Linked DNA regions of Callithrix jacchus. The protein of the gene in region 3 interacts with the protein of the main gene of each other region in a pairwise test. Links are inferred from orthologs where the notes say so. Each region holds a gene or a part of one and is shown on either strand. Other genes may lie near its edges.

The links.
Region 1: the proteins of UBXN11 (region 3) and ENKD1 interact in binary tests that used the Homo sapiens proteins (3 or more experiments, as listed by UniProt). The two-hybrid records come from large-scale screens. The link is inferred for Callithrix jacchus from reciprocal best matches to the Homo sapiens genes UBXN11 and ENKD1.
Region 2: the proteins of UBXN11 (region 3) and EIF4E2 interact in binary tests that used the Homo sapiens proteins (3 or more experiments, as listed by UniProt). The two-hybrid records come from large-scale screens. The link is inferred for Callithrix jacchus from reciprocal best matches to the Homo sapiens genes UBXN11 and EIF4E2.
Region 4: the proteins of UBXN11 (region 3) and RHOBTB3 interact in binary tests that used the Homo sapiens proteins (3 or more experiments, as listed by UniProt). The two-hybrid records come from large-scale screens. The link is inferred for Callithrix jacchus from reciprocal best matches to the Homo sapiens genes UBXN11 and RHOBTB3.

What each region holds. Positions count from the first base shown.
Region 1 is NC_133521.1:25,174,540-25,178,651, forward strand, and holds the start of ENKD1 (enkurin domain-containing protein 1), read right to left. Parts: upstream 2,808-4,112; 5' UTR 2,490-2,807; coding exon 2,405-2,489; intron 2,309-2,404; coding exon 2,114-2,308; intron 1,279-2,113; coding exon 1,106-1,278; intron 744-1,105; exon of another isoform or gene 513-743; coding exon of another isoform or gene 501-512; exon of another isoform or gene 130-500; coding exon 4-129; exon of another isoform or gene 1-3. Other genes in the region: C20H16orf86 (uncharacterized protein C16orf86 homolog), read left to right, coding at 3,012-3,113, 3,326-3,552, 3,916-4,112. UniProt on the Homo sapiens protein: Microtubule-binding protein which regulates microtubule organization and stability. Promotes the stability of astral microtubules and facilitates the proper orientation of the mitotic spindle.
Region 2 is NC_133507.1:153,927,376-153,931,332, reverse strand, and holds the start of EIF4E2 (eukaryotic translation initiation factor 4E type 2), read right to left. Parts: upstream 2,808-3,957; 5' UTR 2,772-2,807; coding exon 2,752-2,771; intron 1-2,751. UniProt on the Homo sapiens protein: Recognizes and binds the 7-methylguanosine-containing mRNA cap during an early step in the initiation. Acts as a repressor of translation initiation.
Region 3 is NC_133508.1:62,927,462-62,930,971, forward strand, and holds part of UBXN11 (UBX domain-containing protein 11), read right to left. Parts: intron 3,510-3,510; coding exon 3,295-3,509; intron 3,018-3,294; coding exon 2,940-3,017; intron 1,979-2,939; coding exon 1,858-1,978; intron 1,741-1,857; coding exon 1,637-1,740; intron 512-1,636; coding exon 438-511; intron 362-437; coding exon 221-361; intron 142-220; coding exon 1-141. UniProt on the Homo sapiens protein: May be involved in the reorganization of actin cytoskeleton mediated by RND1, RND2 and RND3. Promotes RHOA activation mediated by GNA12 and GNA13.
Region 4 is NC_133503.1:114,855,673-114,859,755, forward strand, and holds the start of RHOBTB3 (rho-related BTB domain-containing protein 3), read right to left. Parts: upstream 2,808-4,083; 5' UTR 2,428-2,807; coding exon 2,426-2,427; intron 2,250-2,425; coding exon 2,024-2,249; intron 1-2,023. UniProt on the Homo sapiens protein: Rab9-regulated ATPase required for endosome to Golgi transport. Involved in transport vesicle docking at the Golgi complex, possibly by participating in release M6PRBP1/TIP47 from vesicles to permit their efficient docking and fusion at the Golgi.

The sequences.
Region 1 (4,112 bases), on a different chromosome or scaffold from region 3:
CACCTTAGCTTCAGAACCTGGTGGGGTTGGCTGGGGACTGGAAACACGGGGTGGTGGGAGGCCAGGGCCACAGCGGGAGTGTGCCCGCAGGAAGTGGGCAGACTCTGTCCCAAAGGCAGGGCCAGGCTCCTGGAGGGCAGGGCACAGCAGAGAGAGCAAGCAGGCTGAGGTCTGGGGCTGAAACCTCAGGACTCTGGCTCTTTTGGCCCTTCTGACCTCTGCATCCATGTCCCTCGGGGCATCTTCCCTCCTCAAGGGACACTTGTCCTCATCAGCACATAAACGTGTGGATATCAGATTTTTAAGAAAACAGTAACCACCTCTCCTTCTACCTCAGTACTGGGCCAGCCACCACTCTCTCCCCTCCTTCCTAGCCAAGCTTCCGGCTCTAGTCCCCCAAAGTTCCTGATGGCTGGCCTCCAAGTCCTCAAATCCAGGCGGTCACTTCCTTGGTCTCGTTGTCCTCAACCTGACAGTAACTCCTAGGTCTTACTCCTCAGATCCAGTCCTGAATTTCCATCTGCTTCCTGGATACACTCCCACCCCCTGGGAGCGCCACAGATGCTTCAGCCCTGACACATTCGTGTGACCTTGCCTTTCCTCTCACTCTTACTCCTCCTGCTGAGTCCTTGGATGGAGGGATGGTGCTGCTCTCTACCCAAGACAGAGCACCCCCCACCATACTTCTGCCCTTCCCACTGTCCTCAGAAATAAAGGCTGAAAGTGGTTAATGTGGCCCTTGATGATGTGGGTCCGGCTGACTTCTTGGTCTAACCTCACGCCTTTGAACTGTACCTAGCATCTCCACTGCTATGTGTCCTGTACCTAGCATCTCCACTGCTATGTGTCCTGTGGTTGGGGAGGTTCCATCTTTTGGGAATGTTCTCTACTGCTGTCCCCTTGCATAACTGCTGCTTGCCCCTTAGGATCAGCTCCCCCCATCATGACTTTGAGAAGGCCCCCCTCAGTCCTGCCCTGCAGCAGAGTCAGGGTCTCTTAGTCCTCTGTTACCTCTGTGACTTTCCTCCCTCCCCAGATCAGAATATAGTTAGTTGCCTGTTGGCCAACAAAATGACTAATACATCCGGTGCCCTGAGGCAGGTACCTGCAGCTGGGCCTTGACGCGGGACTCCACCTTGTTGTACTTGGGCGAACGCCACAGAGCTTTCAGGGGCCTAGGCTGGCCCTGCTCCCGGCTGCGCTCCCGTTCTCTGAAGCGCTTCTGAATCTCCCTGATCCGCCTCAGGTTCTCCTTCTCATGGTCTTTAGGGTCCTTCCCTAGAGAACAGATGCTGCAAGGCTCTGCCCTACATATGGCCCACACAATCCAATTTCCACCAGTTCACACACAGGCCTGTCCTCCGCCCCTTACAGAAAGAGCCCCCGACCTCTCGTCTGCCTCATCATCGTGTTCCCTTCCTCACGTATTTAGTATCTCGTGATGATTTTTCTCATTAATTGAGACAGGGTCTCACTCTGTCACCCAGGCTGGAGTACAGTGGCATGATCACAGCTCACTGCAGTCTCAACCTCCTTGGCTCAAGTGATCCTCCCACTTCAGCCTGCTGAATAGCTGGGATTAGAGACATACTCCACCATACCGGGCTAATTTTTGTATTTTTTGCAGAGATGGGGTTTCACCATGTTGGCCAGGCTGGTCTCCAACTCCTGGGCTCAAGTGATCCGCCCGCCTCGGCCTCCCAAAGTGCTGGGATTACAGGCATGAGCCACTGCTCCCAGCTGTTTTTCTCCATTATTACAGTGAAGTATACTATTAATTATCTCATACATGACATTCATCTCCTGTTCTTTGTCTCCCACCTTGATTCGATGGATCATGCTTGTCTTCAACCCTGTGTTCTAGCACCTATATGGCCTGGCACACAAGTTTGACGGGTAATAAATGCATGAAGCAGAGCTAGGACTTTGTGGGAACTACCTCACTCAGTTCCCCTCCGAGAAGGTAGCACATTTCTCCCCCTTTTTATGGTTGGGGAAACTGAGACTCAAGAGAGCAAAGCCTGGGCCGAGGTCAGGGGGGAAAGGGCAGCTGCTTTGATGTCTTTCCACCCCAAACTGTCTCTCTGCCCCTTCTTCTCTTCCTGGGACTTACTCTTGAGAGAGGCCCCAGGACCTAGGGAGATGCCCTCAAGTTGCAACAGCACGTCGCCGACGCCACGCCGGCGGCGCTCCATGATCTCTCGGGCGCCGGGACCGATGCAGGGCCCACGGGGAGCGGTGGCGTCCAGGGCTCGGTCCGAGGTCAGCAAGTCCAGCTTCAGCGCGTTCCCCTCTAGTCGTCCTTGAGCTGCGTGTGGGGTGGAGCCGGGTGGAATGCGGGGCTCAGAGGTGGAGCCGAGGCCGACCCCCGAGCCTCTCGCCACCGCCGCGCCCCCGTACTCACCAGAGGCCGGCCGCCGGTAGTAGTCAGGGCAAAGCGTCGGGTCTGGGGGGATGGGCCCGGAGATACGGGACGGGCCCTCGCACATGCCGCCGGCGCCGCCCTTCAAAGGGGCTCCGAGTCCTGTCGAGCTCTATACCTCCCTCCCTGGGCCCCCTTCCCAGCTCCAGGCCTCCTCCCTAGTCCGGGACCCTGACCCTAACCTGGACCAAGGAGGGCCGCCCGTCCCAGGACCCTCCCAGTCCCCGCCCCGACCTCGGCCTCGTTTGTCGCCTCCACGACCTCTGCTCCCAGCCCACTTCCCGGTCCCGCTCGCGCCCCACCCCCCGCGGCACTCGGGCAGGGGATCACTCGAGCGGTTTTGCAGCCAGCTGTAGCCACTCGACGGGAGTTGTTGTTGCCGGGCAACCGTGGCTTCCGTCCCCGGGGTCAGGGCTCACTGACCCTGGCGCAAAGCCTCCTGGGGCTTGTAGTTTCGGCCGAGGGTGGCCGCCGGTCTCGCTTCCCAGTTTTGTGCTCGCTTGCTGGCCGGTCTCCGGGGTCCGCGCAGGGCCACCATCCAACCCCTCGGGTCCGCCCCAGGACGAGGATGCACTGAGCCTGCGGAGCCATGGCCTCGGCAGGGGCGGAGAGGCGGCCGGGGTTCCAGGAGGCGACGGTCGTGGGGCAGGCACTGCTCGCGGAGGACCCTGGCCGCGCTCAGACCTCTGAGGTGACCATCAGGCTGTTTAGCATTCAAACACGGAGCCGTAGAGCTCTGAGAGGTGGAACTCTGAGCGCCCCGACTCCCTAACTGGCTGGCTGGGCTCTCCAGGAGGGGAGAGGCACACAGGCTGTTTCGGTGTCTAATGTTAGGTGTTCAGTGACTGATCCCTATATCTTTTGCCCGGCCATGGTGACAGATGGTCTGTGTGTCACCTCTAGTGTCCAGTGACGGGAGACCAGTTCCTGGTGCCAGCCCATGAGGCCGGTGGGACCCATGGTGAAGACCAGCCCCCAGCAGGAGCCTCCTCAGAGCCGGAGCTCCAGGAGGAAGGACCCAAACTGGGGGAAGAGAGGCCCAAGCCGGAGGCTGGGGCACTAGAGGAGAGAGGCCCCAGGCCCGTGGTCTCTGTAAGGCCCCATCATGGTCCAAAGAGGAAGCCTGTCAAGTGAGGGGGCTCTCGGAGGGAAGGAGCTGCAGGCCCAGGGATGGGGCTCACACTCCAGTAGGATTCCTAAATCCTGCACTCCTGCAAGTGTGATTCTTGTGTCCACCAGTACTACCCTCACTCCCCTCTCTTTCTGTTCCTGAAGACCTTCCCCCTACTACCCCTGTGTAGGGAGCGGCAGGAGAGAGGGGGCTTCAGGGTTTGTAGGGGACTGGGCTCACCTGGCTCTAAGCCTCTCTTGGGCCTGGGGCCTCACTGACCATGAACCAGGCAGGCATTGAGCCCTGGGGTGGTGGGCAGGCTGGGCTATTCCCTGGGCCAGGGCTGGAGCCTGGCTCCTCAAGTTTCTTGTCCCTGGCTCAGGTCCCTCAGCCTCCCAGGCCACCATGCCCATCTGAGGGCTGAAGCTGAGCTGCCACCCAGGCTGCTGCTGCAGGAGGAGGAGCGAGAGGGTAGCCAGAGTGAGGTCTCATCATCTGCCAAACAGCACAAAAAAGCCAAGAAGCGCAAGAGCCTGGGGGCTCCTGTGCTCCACTCTGTGGCCAGCACGGCGTCTGCAT
Region 2 (3,957 bases), on a different chromosome or scaffold from region 3:
GGCTGTCCAGATTGAGAGGCACTTAAGTCAGCTTGCTAAGCTTCTGCCCAGGTATCTCCTCACCCTCTGAACTAGACCAATTCCTTGTGGGTAGGACCTTAGTTCAATTCATCTTTATACCACCACCATCAGACAGTGGCATAAAACAAATCCCTATTTAATGAATGGTCTCTAGAATCAAAGCAATGAGTGCCAAATAAGTGGTTTAGACAATAGTTAGGAAGGGGCCCAAAGTTAACGATACAGAGTAAAAAGCAAATGACATAGAATAGGGACAAAATCAGTATAGTTGTCTAGATCTGAAAACCATGTTTAACAAAGTCAGGACTGCAGTTTTTGTGATAGCATCTTAGGGTTTTACATATCAATAGGATCAATGGCAATGTGATCTAAGGACTTGGCAAGTCTACCCCTTCTCCACGAAAGCAATTACAATAAAAGGTTTCATTCAGAGAAGTTGAGTCTATACAGTAATGGAGAGTAGAGCTACTCTTTAATCTGAGCCCACTAGATTATGTACTAAGCTCCAGCCACTGGACTTCTAGGCTTCTGACAAACTGAAACATGTCCTCAGGAGCAATGTGGTAAAGAGTGAAGATTAGTAAGGAGAGTAACGTGGTAAAGACTCCAAATATACAGCAATGGCCTAAACACCACAGAATTTCTGAATGAAAAACAACATAAAAAAATAAAACTAGGGCCAGGAGCGCTGTTTTCAATTGCTAATTTCAAATGAAAGAAAGCTTGTTTTTCATTTTCTTTCCTGCAATGCTAGAGGGCAGATGTTAAAAGATTCTGGCTCAATGTAATAGTTAATAATTCAAAGTAATTAAGATGACCCAGGTTTTTCATTAAAGACATAAGGAAAAAAAAAGGCCAAATATAATTTTTGTCTCAAGGTGCTTGAACCAAGGTTACACCACAAACCTGGGAGAGCGCTTCCTGTTACTTAACCTCAGTCTCATTTTCCTTATCCATAAAGGAGATAACAAGATCCCCTTCAGAATTGTTAGAGTAGAAATAACATGAGACTGGGGGCGGTGGCTCACCCCTGTAATCCTAGCACTTTGGGAGGCCAAGGTGGGTAGACCTCTTGAGCCCAGGAGTTTGAGATCCTGGGCAACAAGGTGCAACTGTCTCTACAAAAAATACAAAAAAATTTAGCCAGGCAGGGTAGCACATGCTTGTGGTCCTGGCTACTCTGGAGGCTGAGATGGGAGGATTGCTGGTGCCCGAGAGGTCAAGTGGGCAGTGAGCTGTGATCACACCATTGCACTCCAGCCAGGGGTGACGGAGTGAGACTCTGTCTGTAAAAATATATTTATATGAAAAGTACCTAGCAAGATCCCTGTGGAAGTCCATTATTACCATTCTTACTGCAGACCCCCACATGATTTGGGTAGGCTTAAGCTAGATGACCCATAAAACGTCTTCTTAGGATGAAATTTGATTTGTTCAAATCAGTGGAGGAAGGGGAATAAGGGTCCCAGAAAGCTCCACTTAGGCAGGATTTGGATCTGAAGCTGGGTGTTGCACGGTTTACAAGAGAGATGAAATGGGGTGGGAGTGAGGGGAGAGGTTCGTATAGGATGGGCTCAGTTAAACAGCAGGATAGAGAAAAGACTTTCTCAAATAGCAGAGACATCTCGGCAGCCAGGAAACATTGCTGAGGAGCCATCTGCCTGGAGTGTTGGAAATCCAGTACTCCCTGAATTTGCACAGTACTCGCTGTATTGGAAAAAAACCCAATTTCCCGTCAATAGCACCAGGTCACAACCTAAACTAATAGTAATTCCACTTTACGGTTATATCGCAATAGTTAGCAATGTTCACAAGTATCTTTAAGCACTGCTGAGTGTGAGCTGACCCTTCTCACACCCCGGTGTGGCAGCAGGATACTATCCACTAATGTGGTTTAAGCAACAACGACTCAGAGACTGGGTAACTTTTCTGCAAACAGCTGGAAAGCGGTAAGTCTGAGACTAGAAATCCAGGTCTTCGGATGAAGAGACAGATTTACTAGAAGAGAGTAGGAGCATATTCTACCTCAAGATACAATCCTTGGAGGGGGATAAGTAAAAATACTTTTGCATTTTCTCTCTGTACCTCCAAACCGTTTGATGCTGAAACTAGGAACCGGAGAGGGCAACAAGTATACCTAGCTCTGGGCGAATGTGTAGGAAGATGGGAACCGGAGGGGGAGGAGAAAGAAAGTAGAGTCTCAGGAATATCATTCCTAAGCGAGCCTTCCACTGCGCCGAGCGCAGCAGCCACGTTACCTCCCTGCATCCGCTAAACTCTAAGACACAGGCTGTTACCGTCCCCACTCTGCAGATGAGAAAACTGAGGCTCAGAAGGGAGAGGGAGTGTGTGAGGAAAGCTAGATTCAAAGGCAGTGCGGCCAGACTGCGGAAACACCCAAACCGCCGAGGTCCCCACCCCTCCACGTCGCCGGCAACCCGCATCTTCGGGGCGGGGCGTCCGAAAATCTCCCCCTACAGGGCGGCACAGCCACCCCTTCCCCACGCCCAGCTCTTCGCCCTCGGTCCGGACGGCCCTGGGGTCCCAGGAACCCCTGTAGCCATCGCTCCCCAGCCCCCTCCTCCCCTCCAGCCCAGGCCAGGTCCGGCCGCTGCCGGATCCCGGGAGGGAAGCCGGTGCCGCAGGCTTTGCACCTCCTCAGCCCCAGTGGGGGCGGGAGCGGGGAACGGTTGGAGGAAGGGGCCCCAGGGGCGGCCAGGAGCCACTCACGCGTCGAACTTGTTGTTCATCCTCTCGCCGCCGCTGTCGCCACTGCCTCAAGGAGTGACTTCCGCTCCACCGGGTCCCTCAGCCTTAGGCCCGGCTACTTCCGGTTTTGCGCGAGGCGCACCGGAACGTCGGCGCGCAGGCCCGGCTGGGGGCTGCTATCCCGGGACGCCAGCCCGGGGCGGCTGCGCAGAGGGCTGGCCTAGGCAGCGGAGCTGACTGCTGGCTTCAGGTTTTTCCCAGTCCCGGTGTTTGTGAGCCGCCAGTTCTCCTAAGGGAGCATGTCCTGGCACCCTCCCGCAGCGGCTCGGAAAAAAGACAGCACCGCGGTCGTTGACGGCGCGGACTCTGGACTCGCTGCTTTGGTAAAAACCCTCCTCCTCCTCCTCCAGTGCGGGACGCACCCTCCGGCATCTCTCTTAACCTCCCCAAGGCTTTCCTTTGGCGGCGGCGCCACTCTATTATGGTATTCCTCGTTTTATTGCGCTTTGCAGATAGGGCTTTCTAAAAACAAATTGAGGGTTTGTGGCAGCCCTGAGCCCAGCAATTGTATCAGCGCCATTTTTCCAACTGCGTGTGCTCACTTTGTGTCTCTGTGTTACATTTTGGTAATTTTCAAAATATTTCAGACTTTTTCATGATTTCTGTGTCTGTTATGGTGATCTGTGATCAGTGATCTTTGATGTTGCTATTGTCATTGTTTTGGAGTGCCACATACTGCATCTTTTATATTTTATAAGACAGCGAACTTAATGTTGTGTGTGTTCTGACTGCTTCACCCACAGACTGTTCCCCATCTCCCTCTTCTTGGGCCTCCCTATTCCCTGAGACACAACAATATTGAGATGAGGCAAATTAATAACTCAGCAATGGCCTCTAAGTGCTCAAGTGAAAGGAAGAGTCGTACGTCTCTCACTTTAAATCAGAAACTAGAAATGATTAAACTCAGTGAGGAGGGTATGTCAAAAGCTGAGATAGGCCGAAGGCTAGGCCTTCTGCGGCAAACAGTTAGCCAAGTTGTAAATGCAAAGGAAAAGTTCTTGAAGGAAATTGAAAGTGCTACTCCAATGAACACACGAATGATAAGAAAGCGAAACAGCCTTATCGCTGATATGGAGAAAGTTTTAGTGGCCTGGTTAGAAGATCATACCAGCCGCGACGTTCCTTTAAGCCAAGGCCTAACCCAGAGCAAGGCCCTAACTCTGTTCA
Region 3 (3,510 bases):
CTGGACTTCGGGGCTTGGCGTGACCGCAGCAGCAGTGCTGCTTTGGGCACAAGGCCTGCAGCCTGCAGCGTGAGTGCATCGTCCTGGTAGAGGGTGGGCGGGAATGTGCTGAAGATCTCAAAGGCAGAGGCATCCATGGCCCTGGGGACCAGGCACAGCAGATCAGGCTGGGCCGTGGGGCCAGAGCCCCTCTGTGGTCCCGGCCCTGCCCTGCCCCCACCTGGCCTGCGATAGCAGGGCTCGCACGTCCCCGATGGTGTTGTCAGGCTGCATCATCAGTAGGAAGACCTGTTCCCCATTTTCAGATTTGATGCGCAGCATGGAGAGCGGGGGTGCCGGCGTGTTGGGCGACTCCTGGCTCCTGCACAACCCAGAGGCCATCAGTGCTTCCAGTGACCCAACACCCCCAGGCCCTCACCTCCCCTTCCTGCCCTCACCTTTCTCGCTCAGCGGCCAAGGTGGGCGTCTCCACCACTATCTCCTGGATCCGGGCAGGCAATGGGTAGCAGTTCTAGAAGGTATCAACAGAGGTGGAACAGAGCCTTAGACCCCATTTGAGTCATCCCCCAATCCTTAGAGGGACACATCCTTGACCAGGGACAGATGAGACCAGTGAGCAAAGCGGGAGGGGGTGTTCTGTATGAACCAAGACCAGAGGAGAGGTAATGGAAGGGGAAGGATGCTCTGTCTAATGGAGACAGATGATGACCAGGCTGGAAGCCTGTGGCAGCCTGGGGTCAGGGAAGGCTTTCCCTGGAAAATGACAACTGAGCTGTGACTGAAGGATGAGTGCGAGTTCTTAGAAGTGGAATGGGTGCAGGAATATTCCAGACAGCATCAACAAAGATCCTGGGGTCAGGGGAAGCTTCCTAGAGGAGGTGATGCATTTGGGCAACTCCCAGCAGTATGTGTGGCTGAAGCTGGGGATCAATTGGACTGAAAGGAAAAAGCTGGTATGAGGAGGGGCCTGGCAATGTAGGATGGGCCTTGAGTGCCAGCACAAGGAACCTGGCTTTATACCAAGAACCACTGGAAGATTTCAACAGGAAAGGTAGCCTGGAGGATGGTCAGCAGGGGCAGGAGTGGTGGTCGGAGGCAGCTGTCTGGGAGAGACACTCTAGACCCTAGACTAGGGTGGTGGGTGCTGCTAATGGGGAGAAGTTCTAGGGGTGGACAGACCAGACAGGACTTAGCAATGTGTAAGGGAGGCCTGAGAAACAGGTTTGGTGCCTTTCACAGGTGGACACCTAGAAGGAGAGGCAGGATAGGGAGTGAGGAGACAGAATGATGAGGGCCAGGTAGAGTCTGAGGGGCCTGTAGGGCCACCACGAAGGGAGTACCCAGTACTGAGTTGGATATTTTGGCTTAGACCTTGATGGGGTGGCCTGGGTGCTGGGCTCGCCCCTGGCCTGGACTCTGACTTTAGCCCTCTTACAACAAACCCAGTTGCTTCCTGGGGCCCAGCCATTGCCCTCACCAGCCTCACAGTTTCCAGGAGACAGTGGAGCAACAGCTCTGAGGGACTCATCAGCGGCCTCCAGCTTGAATCTCCAGATAGGACACTGCTCTGGCAGCTGGACCAGGGCTGATGATAAAGTTCCCTTAAGAGGGCTGGGCGAGTCAGGGTTGGCCTTACCTGCAAGGTATCCCTGATGGAGCCCCGGATGTCAATCACCTCGCCTTGCCAGATCACACACTTGGGAAGCTTGTTCAGAAATTTCTCAGCAGTCATCCTGGAGCCTGCAGGGGGGTCATTGGGAACCAAGGCCCAGGAAGGACTGTGAGTGGTGCTGGAGCCCACCTAGAGCTTGTTCTTCGGTTCCCCGGGCCCTGGCTCAGCCTGGAGGCCAAACTCACCTGGGTGCTCCTCCACCCTGTCCAAGGCCTTGCGCATCCGCTGCCGGTCCACCACATGGCCCTCGCCTGGGAAGGGATCCAGACTATCCTCCAAGTAGACCTGACTGCGCAAGTCACTCACCTGGCAAGAAAGAAGGGAGACAGCAGCGGGCTCAGCTCTTCAGCCCTTGGCCGCACTTTCATTGCTATTTGCCCAAACACATGCCAGGGTATGGTCTAATGCAACCCCCATTTTAAAGATGAGGAAACCCAGGCCTCAGGAGAGCCATAGTTCATTCTAATGTCACCTCCCTGGACCCTGCTGCTCCTACAAGCACCCATCCACACTAGCTGAATCTGCAGTACTGACACCCTCCTCAGAGACCCCCATCTCAGGAGCCTACCAGGAAAACAGAGTGTGAGGGGGTCAGGAGAGGACGAAGCCCCTGCTTTTGTCCAGTCTGCAGCACAAACCCCATCATCGTACACGGCACCTCACTTGCCTCATCAAGGGATAGCTACGAGGCCCCCATGGTGGCACAGATGCCTTCAACGCCCCCAGTCATGACTCATGCTGTTTCCTGAGCCCTGGTGGCAACATGCTCCCTCCCTGACGTGCCCTCACTGCGGCACTAACCCACCACCCACTGGAACACATAGTCTCATGGGCTCTGGTGGTGGCACCTACCCACAGGCCCGCTCTACCTTGTCCTTGAGTCCCAACATCTGTCCCCTCTGCTTTGCATTTGTGGCTCACAGCCCTGCCTCCCACCCTACCCAGATAGCTTCAGGAGGCTTGAGGGAAGCCGGGCCACTTCTGCAGGGACTGCAGCTTGTCAAGGTGTCCTGAATGCTGGGGAGGACTAGGAGGCAGTGGCCCCGCAGCCAAGGCTGTCTCCACAGTGCCAGCAGAGGGCGCTGCTTGCTGCCCAGCCTCTCCACTCCCTTCCCAGCTGGGCTTCAGGCTCATCCTCCTGGAAGGCATCAGACTGGGGTCCCCCAGGGGGCGCAGTGGCTTCCCCTCAGAATGGGAGTTGCTTCGTGAGGCTGTGTATCCCCACTCCATCCAAATCTCCAAAGGTATAGTTTGAGGGGCAGCTCACCTTAAAGGGGACCCCATTGGGGTACAGTCGCTGGAGCTCTGAGGGAAAGAAGCCATCCAGTATGTCTCGGAGGCAGCGCTGTAAGGGGAGAGGAAAAGTGAAGGGGGAGCCTGGGGCTTGCACCCACCCTGCCCTGCCACTGGTCTGGATGCCAGTCCCTGGATCCGGAGTCACCCAGTGTCACACCCTCTGGAAACATTGAGTCCCAGGGCTTGGGGAGGGACCTCTGCAGGTTGTGCGTTGGCCTGGGTGCCCTGTGGAGGGCAGGCTGGGCCTGGGGGGAGCTGGCTCCATCATCCCCAACTAACAGTGGAGAACAGGGGCACTAGCACACTGCCCCCTACACCACTCCTACCTGTGTGGAGGGATCACAGAAGGGCTGGAAGGGCCCGTCGAACATCATGATACCATTCCGGTAGAGCTTCAGCGGGATGGGCTCCAGGGTACGAAGCCGCGCCCCACCAGGCACTGGTGTCACCTGGGTGTCACCCTCTACCACCAGCTCACTAAGATCCTTCAGGCTGGCCAGCAGCCTGTCAAAGTCCACCTCAGGGGGTGCCAGTGAGTCCCC
Region 4 (4,083 bases), on a different chromosome or scaffold from region 3:
TAACAAACACTTAATTTTTATATTAGCTACCACTTACAGGCACTTACTAAAAGCCAGCCTCTATACTTAAACTTGACATGTGCTAGTTTCTCATTCACTTCTCAGCACAGGTCTAGGAGACAGATTATGATGTAGATAGGGAAAATACGGCTGAGAGAAGGTAAATGATTTAACAAGGACACACAGGCATGAAATGGCAATGTTAGAATCCGAAATCAGATCCTTTGATATCAAAGGCTGTACTCTATCTGCTCTGCTATATTTAATATTCTGATTCTATACATACTCAAATAACAGCTGATTAATGCAATCAGTTGTAATATCTCTGATGGGCTTTACTTACCACCAAGTGAAGAAAAGCACCTTATAAAGAGCAACCCTAGAAATGGAATCTCATGTCCGAAGACCTTTATAACCTAGAAAATTGTACTGGGTTACAAACTTGGTGCCTTAAATAGGGCCAGAGTCTAACCAAACAAAAAGTGATTTGCATAATAAACCATAACAACCAGGTTATAGCAAAAATCCCGACTACAGAGGCTTATTTTATCCATTTGGAAGATTTCATTTGACTAGACAAAGTATATGGGATCACAAGCATTGCTGTTCGTGAAATTAACAATATAAACAGGAAAATGTTAACAGCTCAAATTAAACACAGGGAAAGCAATTCTAACATTCTAACGTAGCTAATTTTATTTTCCCTCCATTTATTTACTCTATTCACTAAACATTTGTTCAACTGCATGTTGTACCATTATGATTTTAGACTGTAAGATCTTTCACGATGAAAGACCAAAAGCAAAAGAAGTGTTTCATTTGCCTGCATAGACTCTGGCCGGTAAGTTCTCCGTCAATACTTCTTATGAACAACGTCATCACTATTATAACTAGGGGTTTAATGGTATCTCTTAATTGAAAAGGCCTATTTTAAATTTTACCAAATTAACATAACTTTCTTCTTTAACTGAAAACTTATACGAGCAAATGATCTTTTCTTTCTGTTATATGAAAATTTGCATAAGAAATTTTTCTAAGTACATTTTACACATTTTTTAGAATGATGTGATAGTTTCCTATAGCCCTGATTCAGTTTTTTAATATTGCTGTTTAAATAAGAAATCTCACACAATGATAATTTGTATTTTTTCAGGCACTACACTTTCTTCTGTTACTAAATATAACATTTAGCTGAAACGTAGGTAACTCCAATACCACTAAAGAATCAGAGATTTTCAAATAAGATTAAAAGAAAACATTCAAAACATGTTATTGTATACTGAAAATACTTACATGTGTCAGGAAGCAAATTCCCTTTTCCTTTCATCAAACACTCAAGAATCAGACTACCATTTATCCACTTCACTACAATTTTGTTTAACTATTGCAAAAATTTTTTAAAAAGTTTTCCACGCAATATTAGTAATGTTCTGATTTATGAATTACTAAAACAAATGGCTAATACTTAAAGAGTATTTGCATTAAAATTAAAATTTTCAGAGCTCAAATAATAGTGCTATAAATGAGTCATTTAAAATTAATTCCCAGTCCCTGCCTTTTCCTCCACTTTCCAGAGGAACTATTTCTGAACTGTCCCAGTGAAAAGTATTTTTGCCTGTGTTGAGCTTTGAGGGTGTATTTTTAGAATACCAATATTACACTATCACCCACAGGGTAGGCATTAAAAAAAAAAAAAGCACTGCTTTTTGCTAGTGAAACTTAGTGACCCCATCCCTTGGAATTGGCACATTCAACTGTCAGCTGCCTACCAAGGGACAACCCACAGTCCTGAAGTGTACCAGTAAGTGCTCCACACTCCCACTGGGGCCTTTTATCTTCCCAAGAGTGTGCGCTGACGGGGCTATCCCCTGCCCAGTGAAACAAAAGACCAAAGATTTTCTCAAAAATGTTTAAAAATTCGACCCATGTAACGCTGACACTCCACACTCACGGAAGTGAGCAGAAGCAGGAGGAGGGAAAAAAGCTCCTTCAGCCCCGGCGTGGAGCAGCTGCTGTTCCTTACCCAGACGGGACAGTCGTGGACCACCAGCTTGACATTCCCAAACGCACTGGCCTGATACTCGGTGAACACGGGACGCGCGACCGTGCTGGCCGCGTTCAGCAGCAAGCTGCTCTCGTCCCCCGAGACCAGAGGGCTCCTCCCCAGGTAAGTGCGGATGAGCCCCGACGGCCGGCTGTCCTGGTGGAACGTGTCCCCCTCGTTCCCCAGCGCCACGATGTGGATGGACCTGCAAGGACAGAGAGGGGGCGAGGGGAGAAGGGAAGCGCGGTCAGCGTGCGGATCCGTCCTCGGAACAGGAAGTGCGGGGGGCCGCGCGCGGCCAGGATGGGCAGCAGCCCCTGTCCCTGGGGCGCACGGCACGCGCTGGAGACAGACAATGGCCGGACGGCGGCGCGTACGTACATGATTTCAAATCCAAGGGCAGGGCGGCGACCCGGAGAAAAGCAGCGGCTCACGGCCTCGCGTGGCCCCCAGGCGGCGAGTTCACCCGCAATCCGTTCATCCCCGGCCGCGTCCCCCTCACGCACCTCCACAGCGGCGGGGCCGACGCAGAGCGGGGCCGGGGCCGCGCCTGCCGGCTAGGAAACCGGGGCGTGGGGGCCGGGGCAAGCGGGCGGGGGGCGCGCTGCCGCCACTCAGGGAGCGCCCCGGAACATCGCCGGGCGTGAGGCCGCCGCGCAGCCCCGAGTGGACGCCGCTGACCGCAGTCCCCTCTCCGCCGCTCCTCCTCAGCCGGCAGCTGTCGCCTCCCGCTGCTGCTGCCGCTGCTCCTCCTCCTCCAGGCAGAGAGCGGGGGGGCGGGGGCAGTCGGGGAGATCGGTCGGGGCCTCCGCCCCCTCGGCGGACCGGGCGCAGCACGTGCCGGCCTTGGGGGTCGGGCGGACGCTGGGGGACGCGTTCCCGGCCGAGGCTCCCGAGCTCCGGCGTCGGCGGCCGGACACAAAGGAGCGGCCCGCGCGGGGCGTCGCGGAATATAAATTAATAAATACAAGGTCCCAGCTCGAGAGCTCCGGGCCGCCAATCCGCCTGCAGCAAGTTTGTTCAACTTGCAAGGCCGTAACCAGAGCCAGGAAAGAGGGGTGGGGCGATGGGGCCCCCGCTCACTCCGGACTGGAAAAAGAAGGTTAGGAAAGCGAGGGATTCCAGCCGGAGCGCCGCTCCAGCCACCCGAGTCCCCACGCTCTTGGCCTTGACCAAAAGTGCTTTACCGCGTCTGCCGCTTTGTCATTCGTCAACATGCGCTACAGCTGTTTTCTAAAATCACACTCAGGAGAAAAAATAAAGGCAACATTCATGCTGCCACAGAAAGGGTTCTTTGTTCACACACCAATTAATTTGCTAATGTCGCCTTGGGGGGATTATTTACTATTTCAAGCTATATTTAGCATATTCTACTGAAAACTTGAGGATTTTAAAGGCTGGGATTTTTAGTGTGATTTTTTTAAAAGGAAGTTACATATGGGGGTTTAATGTGTTGGTGAGTTAGCAGACCAACTGAAACAGAATGATCATGGGAATGCAAAGATACTTTAGACTGTTTCATAATAATGCACTGAAGTAAAGGTTATGAATATCCCCAACGTGCCTCAAACTACCTCAATACAAAGGAACACTGGAATCCACTTACTAACACAGAAATGGGCCAGGGATTGATTACTCTGGGGTTAGACTCCTCCATACAGTATTAAAATTCTTACCAGTACCCTACTCTGTTGAAAAGTGTTGCTTATCCTTTTTTCTATTAATTTTCCCCTTCTGTAAAATTGGACTTTATTTTCTCAACTGAGCTGTTTTGAGGGTATGAAAGGGGGGTTATTGAGTAAGGCAGTAAAAAAGACTAGGATAACAGCTGACTTGCTCAGTTGAAAGCAGTTTAATAGTTTCTCTTGCTCAGAGAGAATATAATGAGACATTCTTTACGTGGTCACTGATTTTTTAAAAATCTGATTTCCCTTTGCATTCTGTATGATTTCTCTTTTAGTCTCTAGAACCTAAACCATCCTTAAAAATTTCAGCATGCAGGATCACCTTTTATCTTGGGCTAATAGAAAATATATTTC